4 linked regions of the Elephas maximus indicus genome follow. The protein of the gene in region 2 purifies or fractionates together with the protein of the main gene of each other region. This does not show direct contact. Links are inferred from orthologs where the notes say so. Each region holds a gene or a part of one and is shown on either strand. Other genes may lie near its edges.

The links.
Region 1: the proteins of ZC3H18 (region 2) and NCBP2 purify together in Homo sapiens (co-immunoprecipitation; 3 studies listed by BioGRID and IntAct, with this or other methods). This does not show direct contact. The link is inferred for Elephas maximus indicus from reciprocal best matches to the Homo sapiens genes ZC3H18 and NCBP2.
Region 3: the proteins of ZC3H18 (region 2) and VIRMA purify together in Homo sapiens (affinity purification with mass spectrometry; 3 studies listed by BioGRID and IntAct, counting the BioPlex papers as one, with this or other methods). This does not show direct contact. The link is inferred for Elephas maximus indicus from reciprocal best matches to the Homo sapiens genes ZC3H18 and VIRMA.
Region 4: the proteins of ZC3H18 (region 2) and FNBP4 purify together in Homo sapiens (affinity purification with mass spectrometry; 3 studies listed by BioGRID and IntAct, counting the BioPlex papers as one, with this or other methods). This does not show direct contact. The link is inferred for Elephas maximus indicus from reciprocal best matches to the Homo sapiens genes ZC3H18 and FNBP4.

Annotation. Positions count from the first base shown.
Region 1 is NC_064819.1:18,463,248-18,470,989, reverse strand, and holds the start of NCBP2 (nuclear cap-binding protein subunit 2), read left to right. Parts: upstream 1-4,742; 5' UTR 4,743-4,826; coding exon 4,827-4,904; intron 4,905-7,742. Other genes in the region: protein NCBP2AS2, read right to left, coding at 4,152-4,198, 4,356-4,644. UniProt on the Homo sapiens protein: Component of the cap-binding complex (CBC), which binds co-transcriptionally to the 5' cap of pre-mRNAs and is involved in various processes such as pre-mRNA splicing, translation regulation, nonsense-mediated mRNA decay, RNA-mediated gene silencing (RNAi) by microRNAs (miRNAs) and mRNA export.
Region 2 is NC_064839.1:53,895,009-53,902,704, reverse strand, and holds the start of ZC3H18 (zinc finger CCCH domain-containing protein 18), read right to left. Parts: upstream 3,006-7,696; 5' UTR 2,806-3,005; intron 1,892-2,805; 5' UTR 1,828-1,891; intron 1,821-1,827; exon of another isoform or gene 1,640-1,820; intron 1-1,639.
Region 3 is NC_064833.1:47,453,997-47,461,180, forward strand, and holds the start of VIRMA (protein virilizer homolog), read left to right. Parts: upstream 1-4,182; 5' UTR 4,183-4,407; coding exon 4,408-4,470; intron 4,471-7,184. UniProt on the Homo sapiens protein: Associated component of the WMM complex, a complex that mediates N6-methyladenosine (m6A) methylation of RNAs, a modification that plays a role in the efficiency of mRNA splicing and RNA processing.
Region 4 is NC_064825.1:103,132,758-103,140,629, forward strand, and holds the start of FNBP4 (formin-binding protein 4), read right to left. Parts: upstream 3,018-7,872; 5' UTR 2,885-3,017; coding exon 2,662-2,884; intron 1,074-2,661; coding exon 975-1,073; intron 1-974.

The sequences.
Region 1 (7,742 bases), on a different chromosome or scaffold from region 2:
TAGAGAAGGTCAGTGACCTGGAGGTCAGTGTGGAGCAGGAAACCAAATCTATGCAAATAACCCAACCCAAGCACACTGTTCTAGTTCTGCCTTCTGGCTAAAGCCCTGGGTCACCCTAAAACCACACCTCGCACAGGCGTCCTGCTCTGTGGCTGCTGCTTGGGTCCCACAGCCTTCTTATAACCCCAGTGCCACTGAGGAAAACCAAAGTCAGTGGTGTACTGGTGAATACTGAACAGCCCACTCTCTGGGTTAAAAAAAAAAAAAAATCCGATTTGTATCATTGGCCAATGTCCGTGGTGTAAACCTCCCACCGTGACCAAGTTCAAGCTGCCAACATGATGTCACTGAACTTGGCTTGGGACAAGATGCCATCGATCTGTTGTCATGAGCCAGTGTGAGCTGCTCTAGCACGCCACAGGATGGTCCCCTCCTGTGAACTCTATGGTACCGTTCATAACGCTACATTGTTCTATGACGCCACGAACCTCTGATTCATCTTCATACCCCTAGTGCTTAACATCCTATATGGCATGTGCCGGGCACTGGTTTACTTTGCAGCCAAAGACGGCTTTCTGCACAACAGATAAAAGCCAACTGCCACCTTGGAGACACTCCAGACTCTGGGACCCCAAACTCTCCTCTGGGTGTCTTGGACTCTTGGTTCCCCTGCCCCAGTTGGGTCCACAACCTCAAAATTCCCTACAGGAATCGATGTAGCAGGAATCATGGTGGTCCCTGAGCTCTAATAAATAAATGTATCTGTAAAGTGTTGCTATCCTCTCTCTGTAGTATGATGGGCCGAGCTGCTTCCCTCCTTCACCTGGCAGGGCTTGGAAGAGCTTGAAAAAGCATGCTGGGAGACTGCCACCACTGGAGGTGGCGGAGAGAAGTCTGTTTCTTCAGTCATAGAGGAACTGCTACAATGGCAGGCCACTGCGGGGAGGGATGGCCCAAATCACCTTGGGCTGGAGCAGAAAGAAAGACCATATTTTCTGTGTGCTCTCAGATCCCTTCTACAAAAACAGAGAAAACATAGTCCTTGTACACTTCCTCCAGGGAAAATAAGGAACTGCCTCCTTCTCTTGCTTCCTTCCCTTCCAAGTGGCCAATTCGTCTGGAAGCTTCACTGCTTCCTGCACTGCTTCCCGCACTGGTCCCACCACTAAAAGACTCAACAGTGAGTGTGCTTGTTTATGCTGGGGGTGGGGCTGGGCTGGAGACTGCTAATACTCATCCAGAGACCAAAGAGGTCCTCAGACTCCAAGGAGAACCCCACATGCCCTGGAGAGGGGGGATCTGACAGCCCCTCAGACAGAAGGATGGGATGCCAGACCAGGACTTTGGTCATTAGCAGTGGGGAACCTCTGGCCTTGGAGAGTATTTAACTGCAGCATCTCTAATGGGAGACTGGAGGGTGAGATGCCACCTCATGCCAACTCACAAGAATAACTGACCATTAGAACAAGCTAGTTTCTCCATTCTCAGGAGAAATAACTGTATTTATAGCCTGAAAGTATGTTCCTTTTAAACATGGATGGGGCAGGACCTTGAATACCTCCTTTGACCTTCTCAGGTCAAAGGAAATAGGGCTAATTTTGGCAATCTCCCCTCCACACTTGAGTGTTAAGTTCCTCCATCACCCTTACCTTTCAAATAGCCAGCGCTCTTAATAGCTATCCCTCTGCTTTCACTGACAGTCCCACTTTCAGTGGTTTATTTCTACTCTTTTTCAGGTATACTTTCAATCTATTTCTTACCTTCACAGTGAAATGTTTCCCAGTTTAGTTAACGCTCTTTGGATTATAAGTAATAGAACTAACCTGGGGGAGAAAAGCTTTTAGTGTAAGGATACTGTTTATCTCCCAGAATCTGGAGTTGTTTGATACTTGAAAAGGGCAGAACGAGGGTCCCTTGGCAGCAGACTTTTTGAGACTTTCTCTTTGGGTCATAGCCACTAACATGGTTCCCAGCAATTCTGTCTTGGGGCCAAATTTCTAGGCATTTGCATCCTATTGGTCCACCCTGAACCATCTCCTATGGCCAGGGAACAAAAACAAGGCTGTAGAAAATACACCCCATGGGCAGGCCAGGTAGTGCTCAGAGAAAAAAAGGACAGACAACTAGCCCAGTAGGTACAGGCAGCATTATTTCAGGGGTATCTTTTTGTACCTTGGAAAGCAATCGCACTGGGTCCACTTGCAGAGCTGGCCTGATGCAGGTTTGGGAGGGGATCTGTGGGAGAAGGTTCCATTGTCGGTTTCAGAGGTAGCAGTCCATGCCTCATCCCTTACTAATGGAGATAAGAAAGGTGGCCAGAAGGGTCCTTTTCTTAGGAAAAGTTTCCAGACTGACACTGATGCAGAAGAACTATAAAAATGAAAAGTAAACAGGGCTGCCTGCACAAAAACAATACTAATATAAAACATGGCTAGGACATGAACCAGAGACCTACATCATCCTGAGACCAGAAGAACTAGTTGGTGCCCGGCCACAATCGATGACTGCCCTGACAGGGAGCACAGCAGAGGACCCCTGAGGGAGCAGGAGATCAGTGGGATGCAGACCCCAAATCCTCATAAAAAGACCATACTTAATGGTCTGACTGAGACTAGAGGAATCCCGGCGGTCATGGTCCCCAAACCTTCTGTTGGCCCAGGACAGGAACCATTCCCGAAAACAACTCATCAGACATGGAAGGGTCTGGACAGTGGGTAGGAGAGAGATGCTGATGAAGAGTGAGCTATTTGTATCAGGTGGACACTTGAGACTGTGTTGGCATCTCCTGTCTGGAGGGAGAATGGGAGGATAGAGAGAGTTGGAAGCTGGCAAAATTGTCATGAGAAACTGGAAGGGCTGACTCAGTAGGGGGAGAGCAAGTGGGAGTACAGAGTAAGGTGTATATAAACTTATATGTGACAGTTTGACCTGATTTGTAAACGTTCACCTGAAGCTCAATAAAAGTTAAAAAAAAAAAAAACATGGCTAGGAAGCCTTTATGCCCCCATACTGTGTAACACCGTTTTTCAAAGAAGAACAGGGCCAGAGCTGAGGTAGGAAAATGGTAGCCCATAGCCATTTTGTTAGGCCTGAAGTAATAAAGGAGCCAGATTTCTCCTAGGAAACAAATAGGAGGTCCAGCACCACCAGGCCACAGTCCCACAGCGCAAAACTAGCTGACAGAGTAGCTGCTACCCCTCCAGATGGGTCAGGGGCTTTCCAGCTTCTCAGAGTCCCCTAAACATTCATTGCTTCACCCCTGCAAGCATGAGTTTGAACCCCCCAGGGTAGGTGTCTAGGACCTTTGCAGCTCACTCTCCCTGCCCGTCAGAAAAGCCAGGGTATAAATTGTCTGTCACCAGCTTAAAAGCCTTTCCTGTGGCTTCAAGCTTTCTAGATTGCATGATTAACTGTGTAGGCTCATTACAATCAAAATCAACCAGGTACCTCAGATGACAGGGCATTTCTGTACAGAACAGATTTCCTAATCACGGGTTCATTAGCTGGACCATAATCTTTCTTAGTCTGTATCCCAGATACTCTAAAATGGGAACTAGGAACACAGGTAGTTTGTTCCCCGGTGGGCCATTATCCCAATGTCTGGTAGTGGTGGGTGGGTGGGAACATACGAGGTCAGGGTAAATGCTGCGTACGTGGTAATTAAGGACAGAGGCCCTGGGGTCAATTGCCAGTGTTTACGTCCCCCCTCTGTAAGGCCTTGGGCAACTTAAGTAATCACTTCCTTTTAAGAAAGTGATCGTAGGTAGTAAAGGAGGTATCTCACCCAGTGTGCAATTAGCAAGTGCCAAAACAGAGAAAGCACTCGGTATGTTAGCTATTATTACTATGAGCCTATACCCCCAGGATTCCTAATCCATCTTACCTGAGAAGCACCACACTCAGACTCATTAATCAGCTCACACATTTAATCAGAGAATTTGGCACCTGCAGGGCTGTCTTTTCATCGATGATCTTCCCCGCAAGTAGTGTTCTATCAGGGCAGAGACAACAGCATCCATCAAGAGTTCTGGTCCCGATTGCAGAGGACAAGCTCCCTTTCCGGCTGTGGTTCTGTCCACGGGTCTTTATCTCTGTCGGGCTCCAGAGTCTTTCTCCAGACTGTGCCTGAACGATCACTCGATTGCATAGCTTCAGAGAGATTGTCGGTTTGGTCTGGGTTCTCTAATGCGTATGACCTCTGTAGGCCGAGAATCGGAGTCAGGACTCGGAGCCGCGCTCAGTGCCCGCAATGACCCCGCAGCGCCGAGACCGATGTACAGCCCAGACCGAGGGCGGACGACCTCGGCCCAGCCCAGCCCGGTCTTAAGGGTCTGCGCCCGGGCCCTTCCGGCTACCTGGTGGTGACCCCGGGCGGTCCCGGAGGCCGCGGCGCAGTTCTTGTTTGAAGGCGTCTCTGAAGCGGGCAGCGCGCCGGGCCGCCTCCTTACCGCGCAGCTGGGCCTGCAACAGCGCGAAGGCCGTGAGCTGTGCCGCACGCCGGATGGGCCACGACTCCGAGAGACGCTCCACCAGCTGCGAGCTGTGCAGCAGAGCTGCAAGCAGCCGCCGAAACACCATCCTCTCCGCAGCTCCCCGGAACCCGGGGCACGTGGCTCTAGCCTTCCGGTCGGCGGCGCCCCACATCGGACCGGGTCTGCGCCCGCGCCGTCTGATGACGACACTGCCGCGCTCGGATTGGGCCCAAGCATTCCCGCTCTCTCTGCTTCCGGCGGCCGCCTCCGCGCGTTTCCGGTTCCGCCGCCGGTGTCGCCGCCGCCGTTTCATTGTTCTCGGAGTTGCGGCGTCGCCGTCCACCTCTTTGCGCTATGTCCGGTGGCCTCCTGAAGGCGCTGCGCAGTGACTCCTACGTAGAGCTGAGCCAGTACCGGGATCAGCACTTCCGGGTGAGGGAGACCGGGCCGCCCAAGGGCCGAACGCTGAGAAACGGTTTGCTCTAATCTCATTGTGTCGTCTCTCATCCTGCTCGTGTCGCGAGAAGCGAAGTGAGGCCGCAGTGCTGCCCGGGGAAGCAGGGAATGGGTACTGGGCGGGTGTTTGTATTTCACTGAAGCCAGTTCCTGTCTAAAAAGGGAGTTTGGGGCTCGCTTTCTCATTCCCTTGCAGCCCTCCGTGTACCCGGGCCAGTGCAGGAGTGTTCAGGCAGTAGTAGTGGTGACGGCGGCAGTAGTAGTAGTAGTAGTGGTAGTAGCAGCAGCCGGCAGGGGTGGTTCTCATTTTCAGGGCCTGTGCCTCGGGGAGGTGGTTTTGAGATGAGGGGCAGGGCTGTCCGTTTGCCTCCGGAGTATGTGGAGGCGCGCCTTCCTTACCCGGCTACCAGGGCTTGCTTTTCAAAATGCGATGAGAGAAACAATAGCCTTTGGCGCTTTGACCCCTTTTCTTTGCCTGTAGGAAGGTTCTACCATGTTCTGCGCTTTGGATGGGAGTTGAGCCCTGCCCGAACCCTAGGGATGGGGAGGTGGACCAGCCAAGCTGGGCACTTAGAGGATGTCTGGGTGTCAAGATCAGAGAACTGCTGAATTTTAAAAGAGGAAATTTTTAGTTTAGGCTATGTCAGGAGATTTGTGAAAGAGAAGAAGGCTGCAGAATTTAGCTGCATTCTCATTGTGGGCTTTTCGGTATTAGGAATGGCAGGTATGGGGTGCCGGGAATAATTAGGAGACGGTTTCATTAATCCAGTTATTTAGGTTTTCATTGGGTTTATTGGGTGCTGTTAGGAAACCTGCTAAGCCATAGAGAGAGAGGGGAAGTCAGTTTCTGCACTCTAAACTTTAATGAGCCTCTAGTAGGGATTGTAAATGGAAGCAAGTCATCGTAATTCAGAGCAGAAATGGTGAGCACAAACGCAGGGGTTGTGAGGATTCAGAAGAGGGATAACAATTTGTGACTGGGAAGAAAGGGGCAGAAAGGGATGAGAGAGCAGCATGGAGAATGTGTACAATGTGTTCGTAGGGCAGGGAAAAGGAACTTTTGTTTGAGGCTAAACCGACGAGGATCTTAAATTCATTCACTCAGCCAACAGTTTTTAAATTCTTACTGTGTGCGAGGGGAAACCCTGGTGGTGTAGTGGTTGAGTGCTACAGCTGCTAACCAAGAGGTTAGCAGCCGTAGTTCAAATCCGCAGTTCAAATCCGCCAGGCACTGCTTGGAAACTCTATGGGGCAGTTCTACTCTGTCCTCTAGGGTCGCTGTGAGTCGGAATCGACTTGACAGCAGTGGGTTTGGTTTTTGGTTTTATGTGCGAGGCATGATTTCACTTCTTCCACTTTTACAGTTCTTGTTACCTTAGAAAGTTCCACATCATAACCATCTTGAATTTAGACCATCCTGCAAGGTGCAGACTGAAAGGATTAGACTTTTGCTATTATTCATCTCTGCAATTTAAAGCTTAAAGTTCAGTACTGTCATGCAGAATTGCTAGTGTTCCCTGAAAGGAATCCACATTCATATCATACCTTAAGCAAGCACTTAGACCACAGTTGTCTTAAGCCACAGGCTGGCTGTTTGGACATCTCTTACGTGTATGAGAAAAGTGAAACTGCCTCCTGACCATAATTTTAACAAATCAGTAACAGCAGTAATAAAAAGTTAATCTACATTCCCTGATGTCTCATTCCAGAGCTTTGAGAACCTATCGTTAACAAAGAACGCCTGTTCCCTTGTGGATTTTCTAAAGCAGTGTGGGATTGAGGACTAGACTAGGCTTGAATTGCAGTTATAACTGCTGAGTAGCTCTGGGACTGGGACAGGTTACTGACTTTTTCCTCACGTGTAAAGTGAGGATAATAAGTTAGGACCTACCTCATACAGTTGTTTTAAGGATTAGGTGAGATGGCATACATTAAGTCTGACTTGCAGTCCCTTGATTCTCCCCACAGGTAGAAACAGTTATCAGTTCATGCTTTTAAAAAATACAATTTGGAGCATACGCTTCACACCGTCCTGCATTCCATCTGGGAGGTGTTCCCTGTCCCTGCATGGAGATGTACAGGTTTATTGGCACAGCATGGTTTTATATCAGTGTGCTGTAATTAATTTAATCAGTTTCCTTTGGATGGTTTCACTGTTTCTCTAATCTGCCACTGCTTGTGATCACACGAGACCTTTTACTTTGCACACTGTGCTGCAAAACACTCAGAGACGAATAATGCAAGGTCGTATTCTCAGAGTGAGGGAAACTGGACCACCATGACACATGCAGGGCTCCTGGGAAAGTGCTGTGGGGCTCAGTATGAGTTTACTCAGCTACCGCTTTCCAAGCTGGAATGCCACTGTTAGGTGTAAGAAGGGTCATCTTAAATCCAAACTCAGTATATGCTTCATGTTAGAGCCTTACCTGGGTCAGGAGGGCCTGAGAGCAGGTCAGCTGGTAGGCCTTCTATTAATCAAGCATCTGTCCTCCCCAGTGTGGAAGCTGGAAGAGAACGCCCACAGACGGCCACACTGGTTTCTGTGAAGTCCTCTAAGTTACCACATCTAGCCCACGATGAGCCATCTTGTTCCCAGGGGTTGTCAGGTGTTTCTGTGGAAACCCAGTTACACTTCTGTCTCTGGCTTTATCCTATCTTCCAAATTAGGAAGTCCATCAAGAATGTGAGATGGCTTTTGTTTTTAGTGATCACTACATGCTCTCCTAACTCAGAGAAAACCATATAAGCATGTAAACCATCTAAGCAATTGTTGTTTTTGAATGGTCTCTATGGGAGCATTTCAAGGAAACCCTA
Region 2 (7,696 bases):
TGATATGTTGGGGTGCTAGGAAGAGAAATGCAGAGCCCATTAAGCGTGCCTGATGAAATGGGGTTATCCGAACAAGTCTTAACCGATATGTAGGGGTGCAAGAAAGTGAAATATGCGGCCTATTAGGTGCAGTCAATGAAATGGGGTCCTTTGGACAAGTGTTACCTAACTCCCACAATCACAATTTCTGCTTAGTTTGCTCTTCTGACACAACCACCGTGAATTGTGGGCTCACGGCATGGTTTGGAGCTAAACCTTCTTCTTTTTTTTTTTTTAATCTTTATTGTGCTTTAAGTGAAAGTTTACAAATCAAGTCAGTCTCTCACACAAAAACTTATATACACCTTGCTACATACTCCCAATTGCTCCTCCCAGTGAGAGAGCCCGCTCCCTCCCTCCACTCTCTTTTCATGTCCATTCTGCCAGCTTCTAACCCCCTCCACCCTCTCATCTCCCCTCCAGACAGGTGATGCCAACACAGTCTCAAGTGTTCACCTGATCCAAGAAGCTCACTCCTCATCAGCAAACCTCTCCATCCCATTGTCCAGTCCAATCCCTGTCTGAAGAGTTGGCTTTGGGAATGGTTCCCTGTCCTGGGCCAACAAAAGGTCTGGGGGCCATGACCACCGGGGTCCTTCTAGTCTCAGTCAGATCATTAAGTCTGGTCTTTTTACGAGAATTTGGCGTCTGCATCCCACTGCTCTCCTGCTCCCTCAGGGGTTCCATTGTGTTCCCTGTCAGGACAGTCATTGGTTGTAGCCGGGAACCAGCTAAACCTTCAGACTTTTGATCCACAAGATTGTGAACCTGCCCAGAGAGCAGGTGACATGTGCCACCCTATAGTGTCTCCATTCGGCAGGCAGTGCTGGATGAATGTTTGGTGAATAAATGCATAAATGACAAAATCTCGTTACTTAAGAAAGTACCTGTTGCGCATCAGGGAAAAAAAAATTTAAAGAGTTGCCTAATTTTGAAAAGAATACACCAAAAATCAGTCACAGAAAGGGAGTGGTCTCCTTTCCAAGCAGTCGCCCTGGAAGGCCACACACCGCTTCCTACGGCGCTGCTAAAGCACAGAGCACGCGGGAACTTCTCTTTCAGAGTGATCTTCAGACCTGCAGATCGCTCTCCTGGCTCTCTCTGGTAGCAGCAAATTTTCCTCCTCAAGGTGGGTTAGTTTCAGAAATAGTCAGAAGTCATTCAGAGCCTGGTCTGGAGAATGAGGTGAGTTACCAAGCCAGGTAAGACAAGTTTTGGTCAAACATGTAGTATGACTATTAAATATGACTGATTTTCTCACATGGCTTACATATTCATTACCGTAACAGGAGTGCTAAAGACGTACTGGCAAAGAAACATCAATGAAACAGAAACATAACCTTTTGGGACAACTGTTTTTAACAACGCAGTGTCTACCTGGATACTTAAGTTCTGGTTTGTCTAGATAAAATTCAGGTTCATAACTTTACAGACTTGTAACACCAAAACGAAAGACTGACTCCTCTATAGTTGACAATGATAGCATCACCCAAATTTACTAAATTTGACCACCAGAAGAAAAAATAAGGAAACACCTTGATATCATTTGTAGCTGTGATAAGTCAAAACCCCTTCCAACACGAGCACAGCCAGAACTTACCTGTATGCTCTCTGGAATGACTCCACAAAGCTTTCTTCAGCTGTCTGAGCATTTCCCCTAACACTGGAAAGTAGTTTCAGCTTTTGGGACCTGGTTGGACTCTACTCAAACGCTCAGACTGTAATGTAATCAGGCAGAGACTCCCCTCCCAGGGCGTGAAGTTGGAATCTCCCTCAGTCCAGGCTCACCTGGGAATCCCGACCACTGCCTCAGGAAGGGACCATTCCACAGGCAGTATGACAGAGGTGAGTCCTAAAGGAGGAATGAGGAACCATTGATACACCCCAAACTGAAGTTCAGATGTCATAGTCCCTTCTTCCATTTCCCTCAAGTGGAGCTGAGGACTGGTTTAGTCTTGCAAATGAGTTTGTTAAAAAAAAGTTCACTTAACATAATCAACCATTCTGCCCAGCAAACTCAGCTGTCACAAAGTAACCAGGAAAACTTAAGGTTTTCGCAGGAGCAAGACTAGTTAAGTCTTAAAGTCTTAGGTTCTTCCAGCATCATAGTTGCAGTTAGTTTATTCTAGGGGCCCAGAATCCTTTGGGGTCCTAAATCAAAGAGACAAGTACATTACTATTTCTAAGACGCTGGAGAGCATCTCGGGCACAGCAAATACGTCCAACCTGTGCACACTTTCGAGGCGAGGGAGCAAGTTCCAGGTGGCTCCAAAGAGCTCAAAGATCCCCCAAAGAGCCATCAACACTTGGGGCCGGCCTAGTCCGGAGGACAAATCCGCATGCCTCTCACCCTCCCTTTGTGGACGGCAAACATGTGCCACGCGAATGCCCGGATGAGAACTGACAGCTTCAGGAAAATAAACTCCACCCGGGGCGCGAGGGCAGCTCGCGAGGAGTCCAGACTCTGAGGGGTTCCAGGGCTCCCGCGGGCCGGGACTCGCCGCGGACGGAACGCGGAATCGTGCCTGTCTCAGTATCCCCCTTCCCGGGGGCCCAGAAGCCACGCTTCGGTCAGCTGCCCCCACGGCCGGAGCGCGCAGCCTGGGGCGCTCCACGGAAGCGACGGCGGCGAAGGGTTCCCTGGCCTCGGCTCCCGCCACCGCCGCCACGCTCCTGCCTGCCGCCGCCGCCGCCGAGGCGACCTCCTCCTCCCCCCGCCGGCGCCGCCAGCCCGGCCTCCTAGCCGCCCGCTCGGGCCTCGCTCACCTCAGCGCGAGCGCCGAGAGCGGGCCACTGCTCCGCTGGAGTTGGGACGGCGCGGAGTAGACGTCCCTCTGCCCTTCCGCTCCTCAGACGCTCCGGCTTCAAGCGCGACGCGGGCGGAACAAACGGGCTCCACTACCCGCGGGGGCCGGCCATTGTACGACGTCATCAGGCCGCGACGGTCGTCCTGGGGCAGGCGGGCTTCCCTCGCTTGTTCTTCCCTGCTCCCTCTTCCTTCCGGCCTCCGCGCGGCCCCGCCCCCCGGCCCGCGCCCACCCGATCACCGTCGCGGCGCAGGCGCCGTCAAGACGCCCCGCCCCCCGGGGCGGGGCCCTGAGCCCGCGCTCTTGACGGGGCCGCCTGAGAACGCCTGCGTATAGGGTTTAACGCTCCCGCGAGCGCTGTCATGTGACGCGCCCTGTCAGGTGACGAGTGCGCCGCGGCTTTCCAGGAGGAAGCAGGCGATCCCCGGTTCGCCGCCTCGCAGTTTTGCTGGCTGACGCCTTCGGAAGAAAACATCTTATTCTAAATATCAAAGCGGAAACACGTTAATCTATCTTCCTCGGATGAAATATTTTCTCGCCTTATCAAATGTAACCAGCTTTAACATTTCACCTTTTGCCGGTCAGAAGACGTTGAATGGAGACTCAGGGCATTTTTTACTGATGACGAACTTTTCACAGACTCTCAGGGTTGACCATCATCACTGCCATCTGCAGAACAGCCAGGCGGGCAAGATGTCCATTTCAAAGATGAGTAACCTGAGGCTTGGAGCAGCCCCGCCCGCCCAGAAGCTAATTGAGAACTGAGCAGACAGTGACTGCGCACCGGTCACCATCCTGCATCCAGTTACCGTCCTGCAGGCGCCGCCGCGATGCCCCAGCCCAGGGAGGGAGCGCCAGGCAGGCAGCGCAGCTTCGGGGGCGTGTATGTCGGAGTTGCAGTTCCCCCATGTACTGCAGTGTGGCCTTGAGACAGTCACTCAGCGTATCTAGCCTCCGTTTTCTTATCGGTAAATTGGGGATATTAAGAATGTGGTTGTGGATGAGTGCGGATAAGGGGAAGGCAGGATGAATGAGCCCCCCAGTCCCAACTCACACCTTCTTCAAAAGTGGTGCCTTCTCAGAAAGATTAGTCCAAAGGACTAAGGGACTGCAACTACCATGGCCTCCACCAGACGGAGTCCGGTACAACTAGATGGTGCTGGGCTACCACCGCTGACTGCTCTGACAGGGACCACAACAGAGGGTCCTTGACAGAGATGGAGAAAAATGTAGAACAAAATTCTAACTCACAAAAAAGACCAGACTTACTGGCTTGACAGAGACTGGAGAAACCTGAGTGTGTGGCCCCCTGACACCGTTTTAGCTCAGTAATGAAGCTGCTCCTGAGGTTCACTCTTAAGGCGAAGATTAGACAGACCCCTAAGATAAAACAAGACTAAAGGGGCATACTAGCCCAGGGGCAAGGACTAGAAGGCCAGAGGAGACAGGAAAGCTGGTAATAGGGAACCCAAGGTTGAGAGGGGAGAGTGTTGATGTGTGGTGGGGCTGTTAACCAGTATCATAAAACAATGTGTACGAAGTGTTTAATGAGAAACTAGTTTGTCCTGTAAACTTTCATTTAAAGTACAATTTTTAAAAAATGGTGCCTTCTTAACTATTATTTGAGGTCTTCTGTTGACTCAATGCAGGTGTTTAAAAAAAAAAAAAAAAGGCAAAATGGAAGCAGGAGAGTGAGACCTGAGAGGAGGCTGGCAGAAAAGGGAGGGGGCAGAGGTAGTGCTTCTTTAAAGAGCTCTTTCCCTGGCTCCTCCTGAGCAAACCCGTGGCTCCACCTGGGAAACCCTTAATTAGTAGTGCTCAAACATGGCAGTGAAGTCTTTTAAAAAATGAACATTTCAGTTGCCTCTTGAAGGATGAAGAGGGTGACTGGTTGGAGTAGGAAGGGGGAGCATTCCAGACAGAGGGAATGGCTTTGGCAGGGCTCAACAAGGGTCTTCAGAAGAGTTGGAGTTGAATGGGGAGGGTGATCAGGGAGAGAGACTGGACAAAGTTGGAAATCTGCTCTGCTTGCTCTGGGAGCGACAATCTGGGGTAACCACGGCCCTGTGCTTAGAAGGGGCTATGCTTGGTTTAGTGCCTGCTGCCACCATCTTAACATTCTTAGTTTGTGAACAAGGTGCCCTCCATTTCAGTTTTACACCAGATCCTGTAAACTATGTAACCGGTCCTGGGGTTGACTAAGGGTTTTGAGGTGTGGAGCAGAGCAGGCCTCTCCTCACCCCATCTTCCTCCTCCAGTGGAAGGACTCTTCATTGGGGTTCTTGTGAGCCCACCGCCATTCGTTCCACACATGTATATGTCTGGCCATAGTGACGTTAAGTGTACTCATAGATGTTTGCCTCATGTTCCCTGAATGAATGTGTGAGGGAATAAATGAAGACATTAAATACAGAGTTACAGTATGACAACGCAGCAATTCCACTCCTGGGTATCTACCTGCGAGAATTGAAAACACACGTCCATGCAAAGACTTGTACGTGAATGTTCGTAGCAGCACCATTCACAGTAGCCATAAAGTGGAAACAACCTGGGCGTCCATCAGTAGATGGATGGATACACACAACGTGGTATATCCACACGATAGGATATTATTCGGCTGTAAAAAGGAATGATGCCTTGATGTATGCTATGACATGGATGAGGGCATTTTGAGGGGGAGGAGGAATGATGGGATCTAGAAAGCAGGCTTTTAAATATTTAGTAAAAATTTACTTGAACTTAAAAATATTTGGAGGATGGGTGTGGGAGGGGTGGTGTGGGAGACAGCAGAATCTTCCTTTTCCGGGGGAAAAGGTCGATACACGTTTTCAAAACTCAGAATGTCAAGAAATAACCGTATGAATATTTTATTAGAAATGAGGAAAAGGCCAGAGGACAGAACTCAAAGAGTTGAAACAGTTGCCCCTTGGGAATGAGAAATGGGGGTGAAAAGGGACGTTTAAAAGATTTTATTTTTATAGTGTTTTAAGTGAGTGTTTACAAATCAAGTCAGACTCTCATACAAAAACTTATGTACACTTTGCTGTATACTCGTAATTGATCTCCCCCTAATGAGACAGCATGAAAAGGGACTTTTTAAAAAAATCAGCCCCATTGAGGTATACTCCACTTTTGGTAAAACACACATCGATGAGTTTTTTGCAAAGGTCTATACCTGTGCAGTCACCACTGCAATCGAGAGAGGACATTTCCTCTACATAGAAAGTCCACTGGTACCCCTTGCTGTCATTCCCCAACCCTGTATTCTGCCATGACAGTTTTGAGTTGTCTTTCCCAGTGTCACATGAATGCATGTAGTGTGTATCTGGCTTCTGCCACTCAGCACGATGTTTTTGAGATTCATCCACGATGTGTGTACCAGTAGTTGGACAAACTGTTGTGTTTTGTTGTTGCTGTTTTAAGCCTTAGATTTTTAGACAATATATTTTAAAAAGGAAGAAAAAGAAATTGATGGCAGCTACCATTCCTGAGAGCCTGCTGAGAGTTAGGCACTTTCAGTCACCAACCACCTCCTTTAGGATCCAGGCTCTTAGTCACGGAGGCCAGGATTTGACTCTTGGCTCCAACGCTGACTAAAAATAAATGTGTAACTTTGATTAACTGTAGTTGTTTCCTCGGGCTGCTGTTACAAAGAACTATAAAGTGGGGGGCATAAAACAACAGAAAATCTTCTCTCATAGTTCTAAAGGTTAGAAGTCAGAATTTAGGGTGTGGGCAGGGCCTCGCTCCCTCTGGAGGCTCTAGGGGAGGATCCTTCCTGTCTCTTCCAGCTCCTGGTGGCCCCAGGCATTCCTTGGCTTGTGGCCCCGTCACTTCAATCTCTGTTCTGTCCTCACATGGTGTTCTTCCCTATGTGTCTCTCTTCCTTCTGTGTCTCTTTTCCTCTTTTTATAAGGACACCACTTATATTGGATTATGGGCGAACCCTACTCTAGTATGACCTATTATTACCTTAACCAGTTCCATCTGCAAAGACCCCATTTCCAAATCAGTGCTGCCCCGATTCCTGTCATGCTGGTGCTCCCCAATGTTTTGGCGTTTGCATGTATTTGCCCAGTTTTTATAGTTGTCTTTAGCAGAATGGTGTGGGGTTGGTTTGATACAAAAGACTCAGTTTGAAAGCTACGTTTTAGGAAGACATTTATGATGGACGAAATGACCAGGAGAGAGCCCAGTGGTCCTCACCGGTCTGCATGCCACGGGATGACAAGGACTGCTTTTGCTCTTTTCTCACAGGCCACCAGAGGGCGCGCCAGCCCCGCCCACGGCAGTTCTCAGGCAGGCCGGCGGGGCCGCTATGCACAGAGGGCGGCAGGGCAGGGGCACGTGGAGTGAGCTACATTGTCCCAGCGTCCGGGGGCTTTGTCAGCTTCTCCTTCTCGGTTATTACACAGATGACTCCGGAAGGCCTGGGTGGGCGTCAGGGACCTGGACACTCAAATGTGTCAGTCCCTGCTGCTTGTTCAGAATTAACCAAGAGGGACATCAGGCATGACCACAGGCCAACCTATGTTGTCATGTACACACGTGCATGCATACATATGCAGTCAGGTGCACGCATGCACATGCACACATGTACACACATTAAGGCATGCACACCTGTGTGGACATGCACACGCACAAACACATGCTTTCATTCACCGGAAGCTCGCTTTACAATGATATTGAAAAATTAATGGTGCACACGTTTTTTTCCAGTTTTTTTGCTGCACTTGGAATACTCCCTTCTTCAGAACAGCGCTGGGTGCCCCTTGAGGAAGGCCCGCTCATCTGTGTGGCTCTGCTTTGGCCGCGGACAGACCATGAAGACCCGGGTGTCAGAAGTGTGA
Region 3 (7,184 bases), on a different chromosome or scaffold from region 2:
GTAGTTGAAAATACCATGACATGGTGAGGTACACCTCAGTCTTCAAAGTGACATCTTTGCTTTTTAACACTTAAAAGAGGTCTTTTTCAGCAGAGTTGCCAAATACAATATATCCTTTGATTTCTTAACTGCTGCTTCCACAGACATTGATTGTGGATCCAAGTAAAATGAAATCCTTGACAACGTCAATCTTTTCTCCATTTATCTTGATGTTTCCTATTGGTCAAGTTGGGAGGATTTTTGTTTTCTTTATGTTGAGGTATAATCCATGCTAAAGGCTGTAGTCTTTGATTTTCATCAGTGAGTGCTTCAAGTCCTCTTCACTTTCAGTAAGCAAAGTGGTGTTATCTGAATATCACAGGTTGTTGATAGGTCTTCCTCCAAGCTTGATGTCATTCTTCTTCATATAGTCCAGCTTTTTGAATTATGTGGTCAGCATACACACTGAATAAGTATAGTGAAAGAATACAACCCTGATGCACACCTTTACTGATTTTAAACCCAGAAGTATCTCCTTATTCTGTCTGAATGACTGCCTCTTGGTTTACGTACAGGTTCTGCATGAGCACAATCAAGTGTTCTGGAATTCCTATTCTTCGCAATATCATGATCCACACAGTTGAATATTTTTGCATACTCAATAAAACACAGGTAAAGATCTTTTTGGTATTCTCTGCTTTCAGCCAAGACTCATCTGACATCAGCAATGACATCCCTCATTCCACGTCCTCTTCTGAATCCGGCTTGAAGTTGTGACATTCTAGCAGTTCCCTGTTTATGTATTGCTGCAACTGCTTTTGAATAATTTTCACCAAAATTTTACTTGCATGTGATATTAATGATGTTGTTTGATAATGTCCACATCCTGTTGAATCACCTTTCTTTGGAATGTGCACAAATATGGATGTCTTCCAGTCTGTTGGCCAGGTAGCTGTCTTGCAAGTTTCTTGGCATAGACGAGTGAGCACCTTTAGTGCTCCATCTGTTTGATGAAACATGTCATTTATTACTCCATCAATTCCTGGAGCTTTGTTTTTCCTGGAGCCAATGCCTTCAGTGTAGCTTGGACTTCTTCCTTCAGTATCATTGGTTCTTGATCATATGCTACTTCATGATATGGGTGAATAATGTTAACCAATTTTTTGGTACAGTGACTCTCTGTATTCCTCCCATCTTGTTTTGATGCTTCCTGTGTTGTTCAATATTATGTCCACAGAATCCTTCAATATTGCAAATCAAGGCTTGACTTTTTTCTCCAATTCTTTCAGCTTGAGAAATTCCCTTTTGTTTTTCTAACTCCAGGTCTTTGCACATTTTATTGTAATAATTTATTTTGTCTCCTTTTGCTACTCTTTGAAATCTTCTGTTCAGCTCTTTTACTTCATCATTTCTTCCATTTGCTTTAGCTATTCTGTGTTCAATAGCAAGTTTCAGGGTCTCTTGTGACATCTATTTTGGTCTTTTCTCTTTCCTGTCTTTTTAATAACCTTTTGCTTTTTTCATGTATGATGATGTCCTTGATACGGTCTTTAAATTCAGGTGGGATATACTCAAGGTCTTATTTTGGCTCTCATGGGCTTGTTTTAATTTCCTTCATCTTCAACTTGAATTTGCATATGAGCAATTGATGGTCTTTTCCACAGTCAGTCCCTGGCCTTGTTCTGGCTGATGATATTGAGCTCCTCCATTGTCTCTTTCCACAGATGAGGTTGATTTGATTCCTGTGTATTCCATTCAGCAAGGTCCATGTGTATAGTCATGCAGTATTTGTTGTTGAAAAAAGGTATTTGCAATCAATAAGTCGTCATTTTTGCAAAATTCTATCATGTGACTGCCACTATTGTGCTTATCACCAAGGCCATATTTTCTGACTACTGACCCTTCTTCTTCATTTCCAACTTTTGCATTCCTATCACCAGTAATTATCAATGCATCTTGATTACATGTTTAATCAATTTCAGACTGCAGAAGCTGGCAAAAATCTTCAATTTCTTCATCTTTGGTATGAGTGGTTGGTGTGTAAATTTAAATAGTAGTTGTATTAACTGCTCTTCCTTGTAGGTGTATGGATATTACACCTACCGCTTATAACATTGTACTTCAGGACAGAGCTTGAGGTGTTCTTTTTAATGATGAATGTTATGTCCTTCCTCTTCAATTTGCCATTTCCAGCATAATAGACCATATGATTGGCCAATTCAGAATGGCCAATATCATTGCATTTCAGCTCATTAATGCCTAGGATATCGATTTTTATGTATTTCATTTCATTCTTGATGACTTCAAATTTTCCTAGATTCATACTTTGTACATTCCACATTCCTATTATTAATGGATGTTTGCAGCTGTTTCTTCTCATTTTAAGTCGTGCTTCATCAGCAAATGAAGGTCCCAAAAGCTTGACCCCATTTACATCATTAAGGCCGACTCTACTTTGAGGGGGCAGCTCTTCCCCAGTTATCTTTTGAGTGCCTTCCAAAGTGAGGTACTCATCTTCTGGCACTATATCCCCTGCTATTCAGAAGGTTTTCACCGGCCAGTTCTTTTAGAAGTAGATAGTCAGCTCCTTCTCCCTAGTCTGTGTTAGTGTGGAAGCTGAGCCAAAAACTGTCAACCATGGATGACCCTTCTGGTATTTGAAACACTGGTGGCATAGCTTCCAGCACCACAGCACCATACAAGCCACCACAGTATGAGACACTTGAGTGATGGGAAAAAAAAAAAAAAAAGTACAAGTGCACTACATGGTAAAAACTATGACATTCTGTTAAAAGAAAGCTTATGTGAAAATTGATAAACACAAATACATATTGTAATAAATAAGGCATTATGAACATAAATAAAGCATTGATTACAAAAATTAGAAAAATTAAAACACATAAGTCTAAAAAAAGCAGAAGGAAGGAATCAGTAAAGCCAAATGCAGAAACTGAAGAATTAGAAAAAAAGAAAGTCCTAGAAATAATACATGTGAATGCAAGAGCTGGTTCTTTGAAAAAAACAAATAGTAAAGGAGATAAACTGTTAGTTAATAGAGCTTGCTTTTGGGAAGGAAACTGCATAGTTGTAGAAGGTGGTGGATGGGATATTTACTTAAAAAATAATATATTGTTAAATATTTCAGGCATATCAAAAGGTGCAAAGAACAATATAAAGCACACCTATGAAACCACCATCAACCTAAGAAATAAAACATCATCAAAATGTTTGAAGCCCCTGTGTGCTTCTCCATTACATCTCCCTCCAGCTCACCATGAGTTTGAACTCTTAGTGTTCATATTTCCAAAGCATTTCTTTATCATTTTATAACATATGCAGGCCCTTAAAAAGTGCTATTTCGCACATTTTTGAACTATGTAGAGGTTATTTTACACTACTTATTTTTTAACCTGTGGTCGTATAACTCCGTTGCTGAGATTATCCCTGTTAGTAGGTAACAGCACTAGTTCATGCTCTCCCAGTGCTATACGCTATTACATTGTATCAACCACAGTTTACTTTTCACTTCTTCCGTTAATGGAAATTAAGTTTCCAGCTTTTTTGCAACTAAAAATTGTTGCCTTGAACATTCTATCGGTAGGTATTTTTTTTAGGCACATCTGCAAGAATTTTCCCAGGAGTTGGGCAGTCACTTGTTTACTTTTACTAGATGTTTCCAAATTACTCTCCCAAACCGTTGTGCCAATTCACACCACCAAGTAGCTGGGTATGGTTCCAGTTGCTCCACATGCTCAACACTTGGCAGGGAGACTTACTCTCCACTCTGAGCCCTTTTTATTGTTCCTGGCATTTCACGTTATAAAATGTCTTGAATTTTATCTCAATCCTCACAAGTTTGTGGGTTAGGTATTCTTATTCTTAGTTTACAGATGAGAAATCAAAGGACCTTTTCGTTTTCTGAGACGTTTCTTTTCTTTTTTTCAATGTCTTTTTCTTTTCATCCTCTCTCACTGCATCTTTTCCTCCACGTCGTGTAGGGGCTGCTTGTTGGAGGGTATGCAAGGTAGGGCGGGGTATCAAGAGTTGGCACCTTTCCCCACCCGACCTGCACCACGTGCAAAACCTACTCGGCACTCCGCCACCCGGAGGCCGTCGTGGCTCTGTAACGCGCGCGGTAGAGAAAGGTTTGGACCACTGGAGCCTCCGTAGTCAGCTCCTCTCCTCCCCTCTCCTCTTGCATCTCAGAGGGCTCCGTCCGCCGCGCTGGAGTAGGCGGGGCGACGATTTCGGGCAGCTGGGCGCCTTACGGTAGGCCGAGGTTTGCAGCGCAAGCGCGCAGGGCGGCGGAAGTGCTGTCGTTTCTCCGTCTCCTGAGCCGTTGTCGTTTCTCCCTCTCCTGAGCCGCTGTCGCCGAGGTTGTAGCACACTGCCCCGGAAGTCTTCCCCCTGCCCCCGCCCGCTGCAAACATGGCGGTGGACTCGGCGATGGAGCTGCTATTTTTAGATACTTTTAAGCACCCGAGCGCTGAGGTAAGGCCTTGTGACTTCATTCCGACCTGCTTCTCCACTTGGGCATCCATACCAAAAAAGAAAAAAAAAAAGGCCATTAGACATGCCTTCATTTTTCTTCCCGCCGATTGTCGCGTTAATTCCTCACGTACACCCCCCCTCCCCCAACATGGGTGTGGGCACCATGTCTGAGAAAGGGCTACAGCAGCCCTCTCATTTCCCTGGTCTAACTTAGGCCTCCGTGTCTTTAGTCGAGTTGGCTACTCTGCTCGCATTCCTCTTTTTTTTTTTCTCATTCCTGTCAGTTTTGGGCCTTCAGAAGGATCATGGTTTGCAGATTTACCTCAGGTGTTTGGGAGAGGTCTTGGGCAGCTTGTGTTTGACAGTAACGCAGGAGTCCGAGCACCTCACGCTGGTTTGGTAGTTCTTGGTTAAGACTTCTCTGAATCTTCTTCAGGTCACTTTTCTAACGGGAGTTCTGAAGCTCAGTTGTGAGAATTAGGATTGCGGCGTTTTCCAGTTTATCCTGAAACTTCAGTATTTACCTCTTGGAAAGATTTCACACATTTGTACACGAAATGCTTATACGGAACGTCCCTTGTGTGGAGAATACTTGCAAAGAGGGGAGAATTGAGAGAAGTGTAGCCAAACTTCCGTCCGAAAGCACAAACGTATTGACGTTTTGGAGAGTCGGTGTTGTGCAGCAGCTGTTCTGTACCAGACAATTTCGAGCACCCCTGAACGTTTGACTGGCTCTGCAATATGTAAATGGAATGTCACTTTTGGAGCCCTGGTGGCATAGTGGTTAAGAGCTCGGCTGCTAACCAAAAGGTTGGCGCTTGAATCCACCAGGCGCGCCTTGGAAACCGCAGGGGGCAATTCTGCCCTGTCCTGTGGGGTCGCTGTGAGTTGGAAACGACTGGATGGCATCGAGCTTTTTCGATTTAGTTAACTAAATGTTCCCAGAAGCAGGCCACAAACTAATATTAACGAAGTCCCCAGTGAAATTAAAAAAAAAAAACCCTCACATTTCTTCCCTTAATCTGGATTTAATCAATTTAGAGAACTGTTCTTTATTCGGAGATTCTTCTGTTTTTATTATCAGAGGAGTGTGTGTGCATATCAAGCTCCATTTGGATAAGTAGTGTCTCTCTTCTTCACAGCTGTATCTCCAGTGCCTAGAACAGTATCCTGTAAAATGTAGGTGACCCATTAACCAGCTGCCACCGAGTCGATTCCGACTGATAGTGACCTTTTAGACCAAAATGTAGGTGCTCAATAAATATTTGAATAAGTCTTTTAGATTGTTCTTTCATTTTTGAGGAAACCCTGGCAGCGTAGTGGTTAAGTGCTACAGTTGCTAACCAGAGGGTCAGCAGTTCGAATCCACGAGGCGCTGCATGGAAACTCTATGGGGCAGTTCTACTCTGTCCTATAGGGTCGCTATGAGTTGGAATCGACTCGAGGGAACTGGGTTTGGTGTTTGGTTTTGGTTTTCACTTATGAAATAATGGTGATAGAAGGTGTATTTTAATGCTTTGCTTGTCAGAATGAAACGTTGACAACCGTGATGTGATTTTTTTAACAAATGGTTTACAAGTCTGTGAAAGTCAAAATTTTGTGAACCATGGATTAACATCTTACTGATAACCTCACATTTCTTGTAGGTCAGTTAGCTCTGTTCAGTGACATCTTTTCTGACTGTAGTTCTAGCTAGGCTTTCGAAAACTTACAGTGGAGTCAGTGGTTGGATCAGAACAAACCTATTGTGTACAGAGATGGAGAACAGTTAAAAATGAAAGAAAAATCACATGGTAAGTCAATTTAGTAGTAGTCTGGTTTAAGAAAAGTTGGCGTTCAGTCATTTATCACATATTGGTTGGCAATTTGAACCCACCCAGTGGCTCTGCAGGAGAAGGACATGGTTATCTGCTTCAGTAAAGATCACAGTCAAGAAAACCCTATGAGGCAGTTCTCCTTCGTCACACGGGGTCCTTATGAGTTGAGATCAACTCAATGTCACCTAACAACAAGAATCTCTTATTCCTTCATTTATTCTTAGCAAGTGAGGACAGTGAGAGCATAGGGAAGGGAGTAAATATCTCCTTGTGGGGGTGACTGGGCATAGTATAGATCAAATTTGAACAGAGTCTTGGTGGAGTATGGGCTTGTGTGTAGAGAAGGAATGGGGGAGAGATGTTCTCAACAGCAGACTAGGTGTGTGCAGAGGTGTGTGCAGAGGTACTGTGTAAGATATATTTAGGAATTGGATAGTAATTGTGATCTAAGGATAGGGTGTTTAGAAAACAGTGTTGGAGAGTGAAAAATTAAGAGTAGTCTATCTGGAAGTCAGCTTTGGTGGTCAAGAAATGTGTGAGAGCTATCAAGTTTCACAGTTAAAAATAATTAGTATGTCTTAAAACAGAGATGGTTAATGAATTCTATATGTGTGAGGCACTTTGCTGAGTGCTGTAGGGGACATTGAGATAAAACAGAATCTCTATGCTCAAGGAGTTTATAGATAAGTATTAGGGATTTAAAAAAAAAAAAACCAGAACCCATTCTTTTAGTCAGTTCCGACTCATGGGTTACAGAAAATTGCCCCTTAGGGTTTTCTTAATCTTTACGGAAGGAGATCTCCAGGCCTTTCTTTTCAGTTACTGCTGGGTAGATTTGAGCTGCAAACCTTTAAGTTAGTAGTCCAGTGCAAACCATTTGCACCACCTTTGTTGTTA
Region 4 (7,872 bases), on a different chromosome or scaffold from region 2:
GGTAGTTGTTCTGAAATGTTGGGGGACAGAAGAAAAATTTATTATTTTAGGTGTCAAATAGCACAAAAAGCATTCCAAATACAAAAGAATAAAATTATTACAATTACAGAATATTTAGTATCAAAGCATACTTTAATCTTTCACGATATATAAAGAAAACTAACATTTTTTGGCACTTATTATGTGTCAGAAAACGTTATAAACCATAAAACCAAACCTGTTACCAACAAGCCGATTCTGACTCATAGTGGACCCTATAGGACAGAGTAGAACTGCCCCATAGGGTTTCCAAATAGCAGCTGGTAGATGTGAACTGCCAACCTTTTGATTAGCAGCCATACCACTTAACCACTACACCACCAGGACTCCAGAAAATGTTACACACATTGTCAATTTAACCCTCAAAATAACTCAGAGCTATTAGATCTGTTTTACAGGTGAATGAGGTTCAGTGTGATTAGCAACTATCTGAAGATCTTAAGAGTGAATGCTAGGCTCATGATTTGAACCCAGGTTTGCCTACAAAGCCACCATTGCAAATCTCTCTCAATGCTTAAAAAATATTTTATAAGAATGATTTTCAGGTCCACAAGCATTTGCTAGGTACCAATCAGGCTAGCATGTTAAAAAAAGGAACGTAAGGACAGGTAAGAGATATGATCAGTGATCTTAAGAAATACCAAGCTAGTGGGAGGGCAAGAAACGAATTACAAAATAGTATCAGAAGAAAAAGTAGTACAAAATACTTTGCGTACAGTGAAAAAGCAACAACAAAATTTCCACTGGTCCAAGTGTATATACCAAATCCTCACAAACAAAAGATTTTGAATTTCCATTTTACGGGAGAAACGTTATCAACACCAAACCTTTCAACAAAACAATCTTTATGTAAAACCAATTTGATTCTAATGAAAGGTATTCTAGAAAAGATGTAGGAAAAAACAAAACAAAAACCACAAACCAAAAAGCTATACCTGTTGCTTTAACAGCTGTGGGTCTGGTAGTCATGACTGATTTTGGAGGATTCTCAACAACTCTGGGAACCTCCACCACCACTTCCTGTTCATCTGGATCTAAAAATGAGCAAAGAAAACTGCAGTCAGACTATGGATAAGAAAAAACACTACAAGTGACACAAGAATCTCTGATTTGACGTTTTCAAAGCCTAGATTTCATCAATTTAAAAACAGGGTGGATAATCCCTCACTGACCCAAATAATTGGGAGATGATAAACAAGCACAGCTATAATCTTCCCTTTGCCTAGTGACTTTAACATTAAGAGAAAAACTTAAATGTTGTACTTAAAGATTAAATTTTTAATAACTCTTTATAATTTTTTAAGGTGATTTCATTGGAAAACCAATGTAACTCTATAATTCTACTTCTGGATATACAACCTACGTAAACTCTGAGACAAATATACAGGCAGACACGGTGTTAACTGCATCACTGCCCCAAACAGGAAAGAAGCCTGAAACGTAAACATCCATCAATAGTGGAATGCAGAAACGGTGGTACATTCATACCACGGGATACTATAAAAAAATACAACAGTTAAATTCAACACAGAACTCATGTATTAACACATAAATCACAAACATTACAGAAGAATGTGCATAGTTTGATACCATTTATGTAAAAACAACTACAAACTAACAGCGTACATAGAGTGAAAATATAAAAATACACAAAGCAAGCATACTCACCAGCTTCGGAATACTCTTGAGAGGGAGGGAGGAAGGGAAACAAATGGAATGTGGGGTAGTGGGGGACTCTTGGTAAAGTTTTATTTTATAAAAAAAAAAAAAAGAAGTAAAAATAGCAAAAGACTACCATCTGTTTAATCTGTTGTGGATATGTATATCTATTATAACGTTTTTACTTCTGAAATACTCGAAAGTCAAAAAAACCCCTCACATTCACACAAAATTTCTCTTCTCCAGGCTACCACAAGGTCTTGACAACAAGCACTGCTATTATAGTATTTTCCCTCCTGAAAAAACTCCCTCGTCATTTTTTAAACACCTGAAATTATGGCGACTTGTTTCGCGTTCAGCGCCTGTGGTAACGCTGGCCCGTCACCCTTAATCTAATTACCAGTCCAAGGCGAGCCACCCAAGTCCACGGGAACCCCCAAGTTTCACTTCTTCAGCCATGTGTGTGGCATGCCTGCCAATTTGGAGGCAGTTACGTTTCGGCGGGCATAATAAACAGGGTTTGCTCACTTCTAAAGAGTCTCTCTCAGTTTCAACAAAAACGGAGGGAAAAACACATGACGTATAGAAAAGGCCACAGCGTCAGCGGTCACCACGTCTCGGACGCGGAAACTCATACATTCACCCACCCTGTAAGTTATCCCAAGCCGACACTGGACGATGAGGACTCAGGGCGCCCGGGCCGCCGTCGGATTCAAACGTTCCTGGGGAACCCCTGCACCAGAGCTGGCCCTCGGGGTCGGCCCGGACGGAGCCCGCACGGCCCGCCTGAGCCTTCCACCGCCCAGCCCGCAGCCCCACGCAGGCCTGGATGCGGACCCCGCCCGCCCGGGTTTCTCTTCCTCCCAGCGTCAGGCCAGGCGCCTCCTGAGGCCTAGGCCTCAAGCCCCGGGCTCGAGTTTCGGACCGCCCGACTCCAGGCCAGGGCCTCGTATGCACGCTTACCTTCTGAAGGCGAGTCTTCCGAGGCCGCGGCAGCCGTCACAGCAGTCGTCGTGGCCGGCGCCACCACCGTCGGGGCTGGCTGACTGGTGGCCGCCGCCGTCGAGTCCAGCTCGGTGTCGGCCTCCGGTTCCGGGTCCCGCCCGGGGGTGCTGCTCCGGGGACCAGGCGGGGAGAGCTGCAGGATGGGCCTGCGACCGGGTACCGCCCGGGACTTCTTCCCCATCGCGAGCCCGAGCGCGAACAGCCAGCGTCTGGCGGCCGAGAGGGGCGGGCGCTCAGCGTTGCAATGCGTAATCAATATTCATACACCGCAACACCGCCTCCCAGGAGGACCCGCTTTTAACCGGCGGAGTGCGCGCCCGCGCAAGCGCCTTGGACCCTTTACGTTCTTCTGACTCCTCCTCCCATAGGAGGAAGGGCGGGCTTTACCCTGGGAGCTACTTGATTGGCTGTTTCGACCCAGAGAATGCGCCAATAACCAATGAAAAAGGAAAATAAGAGTTAGTCGAGCCAATAGTGAGGAAGAGTCTGGGTTTAACATACCTTCCCCGCTTACGTCGGGTTCCACCCATGCGTTTTTTGCAGTTTATTCTTTGCCCCGGTCCTCCATTTTGTGGATGTTTTCGGCTGTTTGATGTGTTGTAATTTGGGCCCTGGAAAGCTGTGCTACTTTCCCAGCCCTTCCCCCAAGTTTCGCCCTCGTTATTGTGGCTTACTTTGGGTATTACTGTCGACTATTAAATAGGATATTGGGTCTTTTACACCTTTGTAAATTCTTAGATCACAAAGAATGAGTTGTTGGGATGTGATGCAAGAGCTTTCAGAATCTGATTCTACTGGAGCCCTCGACCTACTTTTCTAGATTGATCTTTTCCTTTCCCAGGTACCTACGCTCTAGCCGTTTGAGCATCACGTCTCTCCAATCCTTCGCACTAGCTACAGGAACTGCTGCACCACGTGGCGAAATTCTTTGATTTCCTTAAGTCCCAGTGCAGCCGTGTACCTCTCTGAACCTTTTCTCTCACAGCCTTGCCCCTTCCCAGCACTTCACATTCTACCCTTGGTGCTTGTCTTCCCCTCTAAACTGAGTTTAAGAAATCCAGTGATAGTTATTTTTATATCCCCAATAGCTACCTTAGTTCTGAGTGCACAGTAATAATATCCAATATTTTTTGAGCACTTGCTCAATGCTAGGCAGTAAGGGCTTTCTATGTAGAACTGCATTTGATTCGTGAGGTAGATAACCATTATCCCCATTTTACAAATGCACAAATGGGTTGTTAAATACAAAGTCATTTTGAGACAAGTGGCTTGTTTTGCTCCCTGTAGTTGCAATGCCTACAACACTTTCTGGAACATAGGAAACAGTAAGTGTTTTTAAGTGAATATAAAGGAGCCTTGCTGGTGCAGTGCTTAAGGGCTCAGCTGCTAACCAAAAGGTCGACAGTTCGAATCCACCACGCACTCCTTGGAAACTCTACAGGCATGGGAGGGTGGGGGGAGGCAGTTCTACTCTGTCCTGTAGGGTCAATATGAGTCGGAATCGACTGGACGCAATGGGTTTGGTTTGCCTACAACAGTTTCTGGAACATAGGAAACAGTAAATGTTTTTGAATGAATATAGTATGTATTAATATTTAACAGACTTGAAATAAGTAGCAAACCTATCTACAGGAGATACACCTGGAATTAGGGTATCCTCAGTGGACTCCCAAGATTACCAAAAATGTAATCCCGAGAAGCAGGGGGAGGGAGGTTTGCATTAGCAGTTTTCTGATTTTTTTGGAAGAGGCATTGGAATGATAGTTGTGCGTGAGTTCTAAAGCCAAACAGATCTGGATTCAAGCTGTACTCCAGCACCCTTCAGATTTGTAATGGCCAAGGCAAGTTTCTTTCTTAAATTCCTAAACTTGTTTCTGGGCCCTGGTGGCACAGTGGAGAAAGTGCTCAGCTGCAGTTCCAACCACCAGCCACTCCGCTGGAGAAAGATGTCGCAGTCTGCTTCCAAACAGCCTTGGAAACCCCATGGGGCAGTTCTACCGCGTCCTGTAAGTCAGAATTGACTCCATCGGGTCAGTAGAAAACTTACTTCTGTGAAATGTCTTAGTAACAGTATCCATAGCATTGTTGTGAAATTTAAATTAGATCATAGCTTTAAGCTCTTTGGGTAGAGTCTGGAAAAAATAAACACTAATTATGTAGTAATGAGTATAAAGCTTGAAGTGCTCACTAGTCTATGCTAAGAAATTTGGAAGACAGCTACCTGGCCAACTGACGGGAAGAGATTGTTATTTATGCCTATTTCACTGAAGGTGATCCAACTGAATGTAGAAATTATTGAACAATATCACACGCAAGTAAAATTTTTATGAAGATCATTCAAAAGTGGTTGTAGCAGTATATTGACAGGGAACTGCCAGAAATTCAAGCCGGATTCAGAAGAGGACATGGAAGGAGGGCTATCGCTGTTGATGTTGGATGGATGCTGGCTGAAAGCAGAGAATACCAGAAAGATGCTTACCTGTGTTTTATTGACCATGCAAAGGCATTTGACTGTGTGCATCATAACAAACTATGGAGAACATTCCTAAGAGTGGGAATTGCAGAACATGTAATTGTGCTCATGAGGAATCTATACACAGACCAAGAGGCAGTCATTTGAAAAGAACAAGGGGTTACTGCATGCTTTAAAGTCAGGAAACGTGTGTCAGGGTTGTATCCTTTCACCATACTTGCTCAGTCTGTATGCTGAGCAAATAATCCAAGAAGCTGGACTGTCTGAAAAAGAACAGGGCATCAGGATTGGAGGAAGACTCATTAACAACCTGCGTTATGCAGATGACACAACCTTGCTTAATGAAAGTGAAGAGGACTTGAAGCACTTACTGATGAAGATCAAAGACTATAGCCTTCAGTATGGATTACACCTCAACATAAAGAAAGCAAAAATCCTCACAACTAGACCAATAAGCAGTATCATGATAAACAGAGAAAACACTGAAGTAGTCAAGGATTTCATTTTACTTGTATCCACAATCAACACCCATGGAAGCAGCAGTTAAGAAATCAGACTACGCATTGCATTGGGCAGATCTGCTGCAAAAGACCTCTTTAAAGTGTTGAAAAGCAAAGATGTCACCTTGAGGAGGAAGGTGCACCTGACCCATACCATGGTGTTTTCAATTGCCTCATATGCATGTGAAAGCTGAACAATGAATAAGGAAGACCAAAGAAGAATTGACGCCTTTGGATTATGGTGTTGGCAAAGAATATTGAATATACCACGGACTGTCGAAAGAGCAAACAAATCTGTCTTGAAAGAAATACTGCCAGAATGTTCCTTAGAAGCAAGGATGTTGAAACATTGTCTCACTTACTTTTGACGTGTTATTAGGAGTGATCAGTCCCTGGAGAAGGACTTTGTGCATAGTAAAGTAGAGGGTCAGTAAAAAACAGGAAGACCCTCAACCGAGATGGACTGACATAGTGGCTACAATGGGCTCAAGCGTAACAATTCTGAGGATGGCACAGAACCTCACAGTGTTTCGTTCTGTTCTACATACGGTTGCTATGAGTCAGAACCGACTCGACGGCACCTAACAACAACATGTAGTAATAATTATTATATTAATAATATTGTTTTGTTTAAACAAAATATTTCTTTTGTTTAAATAAAATTCCAGCGCCTATTATGAAACTGGTTGGATCCAAGTTGACACTATGTGCTAAAGCACAAAGCACTGAAATGGGAAAGGCTGTTTTCTTTGGAGAAAACTTACATTTTAGGTGACCGTTTAGCTTATAACAATGGTTCTCAACCCTGGTTGTTCATAGAACCATCTGGAGATTATGAATGCAATGTAAGAATCTGAATCAATTGGACTGGGGAGTAGGGGTGATGGTGTTAGATGCTGAGGGGTCCAACTCATATTGACCCAACGTATAACAGAATGAAACTGCCTGATTCTGTGCCATCCTCATAACTGTTGCTATGTTTGAGCCCATTGTTACAGCCACGGTGTCAACTCATCTCATTGAGGGTCTTCCTTTTTTTTTGGTGACCCCTGCTTTACCAACCACAATGTTTTTCTCCAGGAGCTGGTCCCTCTTCATAACACATCCAAAGTAAGCAAGATGAAGTCTTACTATTCTCGCTTCTCAGGAGCATTTTGGCTGTACTTCTTCCAAGACAGATTTGTTCATTCTTTTGGTAGTCCATGGTATATTCAATATTCTTCGCCAACACCGCAATTAAAAAGGTGTCAATTCTTCTTTTGTCTCTCTTATTCATCATCCAGCATATAAGGCAACTGAAAATACCATAGCTTGGGTCAGGCGCACCTTAGTCATAAAAGTGACATCTTTGCTTTTTTAGAACTTTAAAGATGTCTTTTGCAGCAGATTTGCTCAATTCATCGTCTGACTTCTTGACTGCTGCTTCCATGAGCATTGATACTGTGGATCCAAGAAGGATGAAATGCTTGACGACTTCAATTTCTTCACCATTTATCATGATGTTGCTTATTGGTCCAGTTGTGAAGATTTTTGTTTTATGTTGAGGTGCAATCCATACTCAAGGCTGTAGTCTTTGATCTTCATCAGTAGGTGCTTCAAGTCATCTTACTATGGACAAAGGTGTGCCTGACCCAAGCCATGGTGTTTTCAATTGCCTCATAATGCATGCAAAAGCTGGATGATGAATAAGGGAGACAGAAAAGAATGGACCCTTTGAATTATGGTGTTGAATATTGAATATACCATGGACTGCCAAAAGAACGAACAAATCTGTCTTGGAAGTAGAACCAGAATGCTCTTTAGAAGCAAGGATGGCAAGACTGAACCTCACATACTTTGGACATGTTATTAGGAGGGATCAGTCCCCGATGGACATCATATTTGGTAGAGGGTCAGTGAAAAGAGGAAGACCCTCAACAAGATGCACTGACACAGTGGCTGCAACAACAGGCTTAAGCATGGCAATAGCTGTGAGAATGGCGCAGGACCAGGCACTGTTTCATTTCTGTTGTACACACGGTTATTATGAGACAGAACTGACTTGACAGCATCTGCCAACAACAACATGGGCAAAAAACTGACACAAAGCATCAAAAGAATGATGGAAGGAATACACAGTGTACAAAAAAAAAAAAAAAAAAACCAGTTGATGTTCAAACATTTCAGGAGGTAGCATATGATCAAGATCTGATGGTA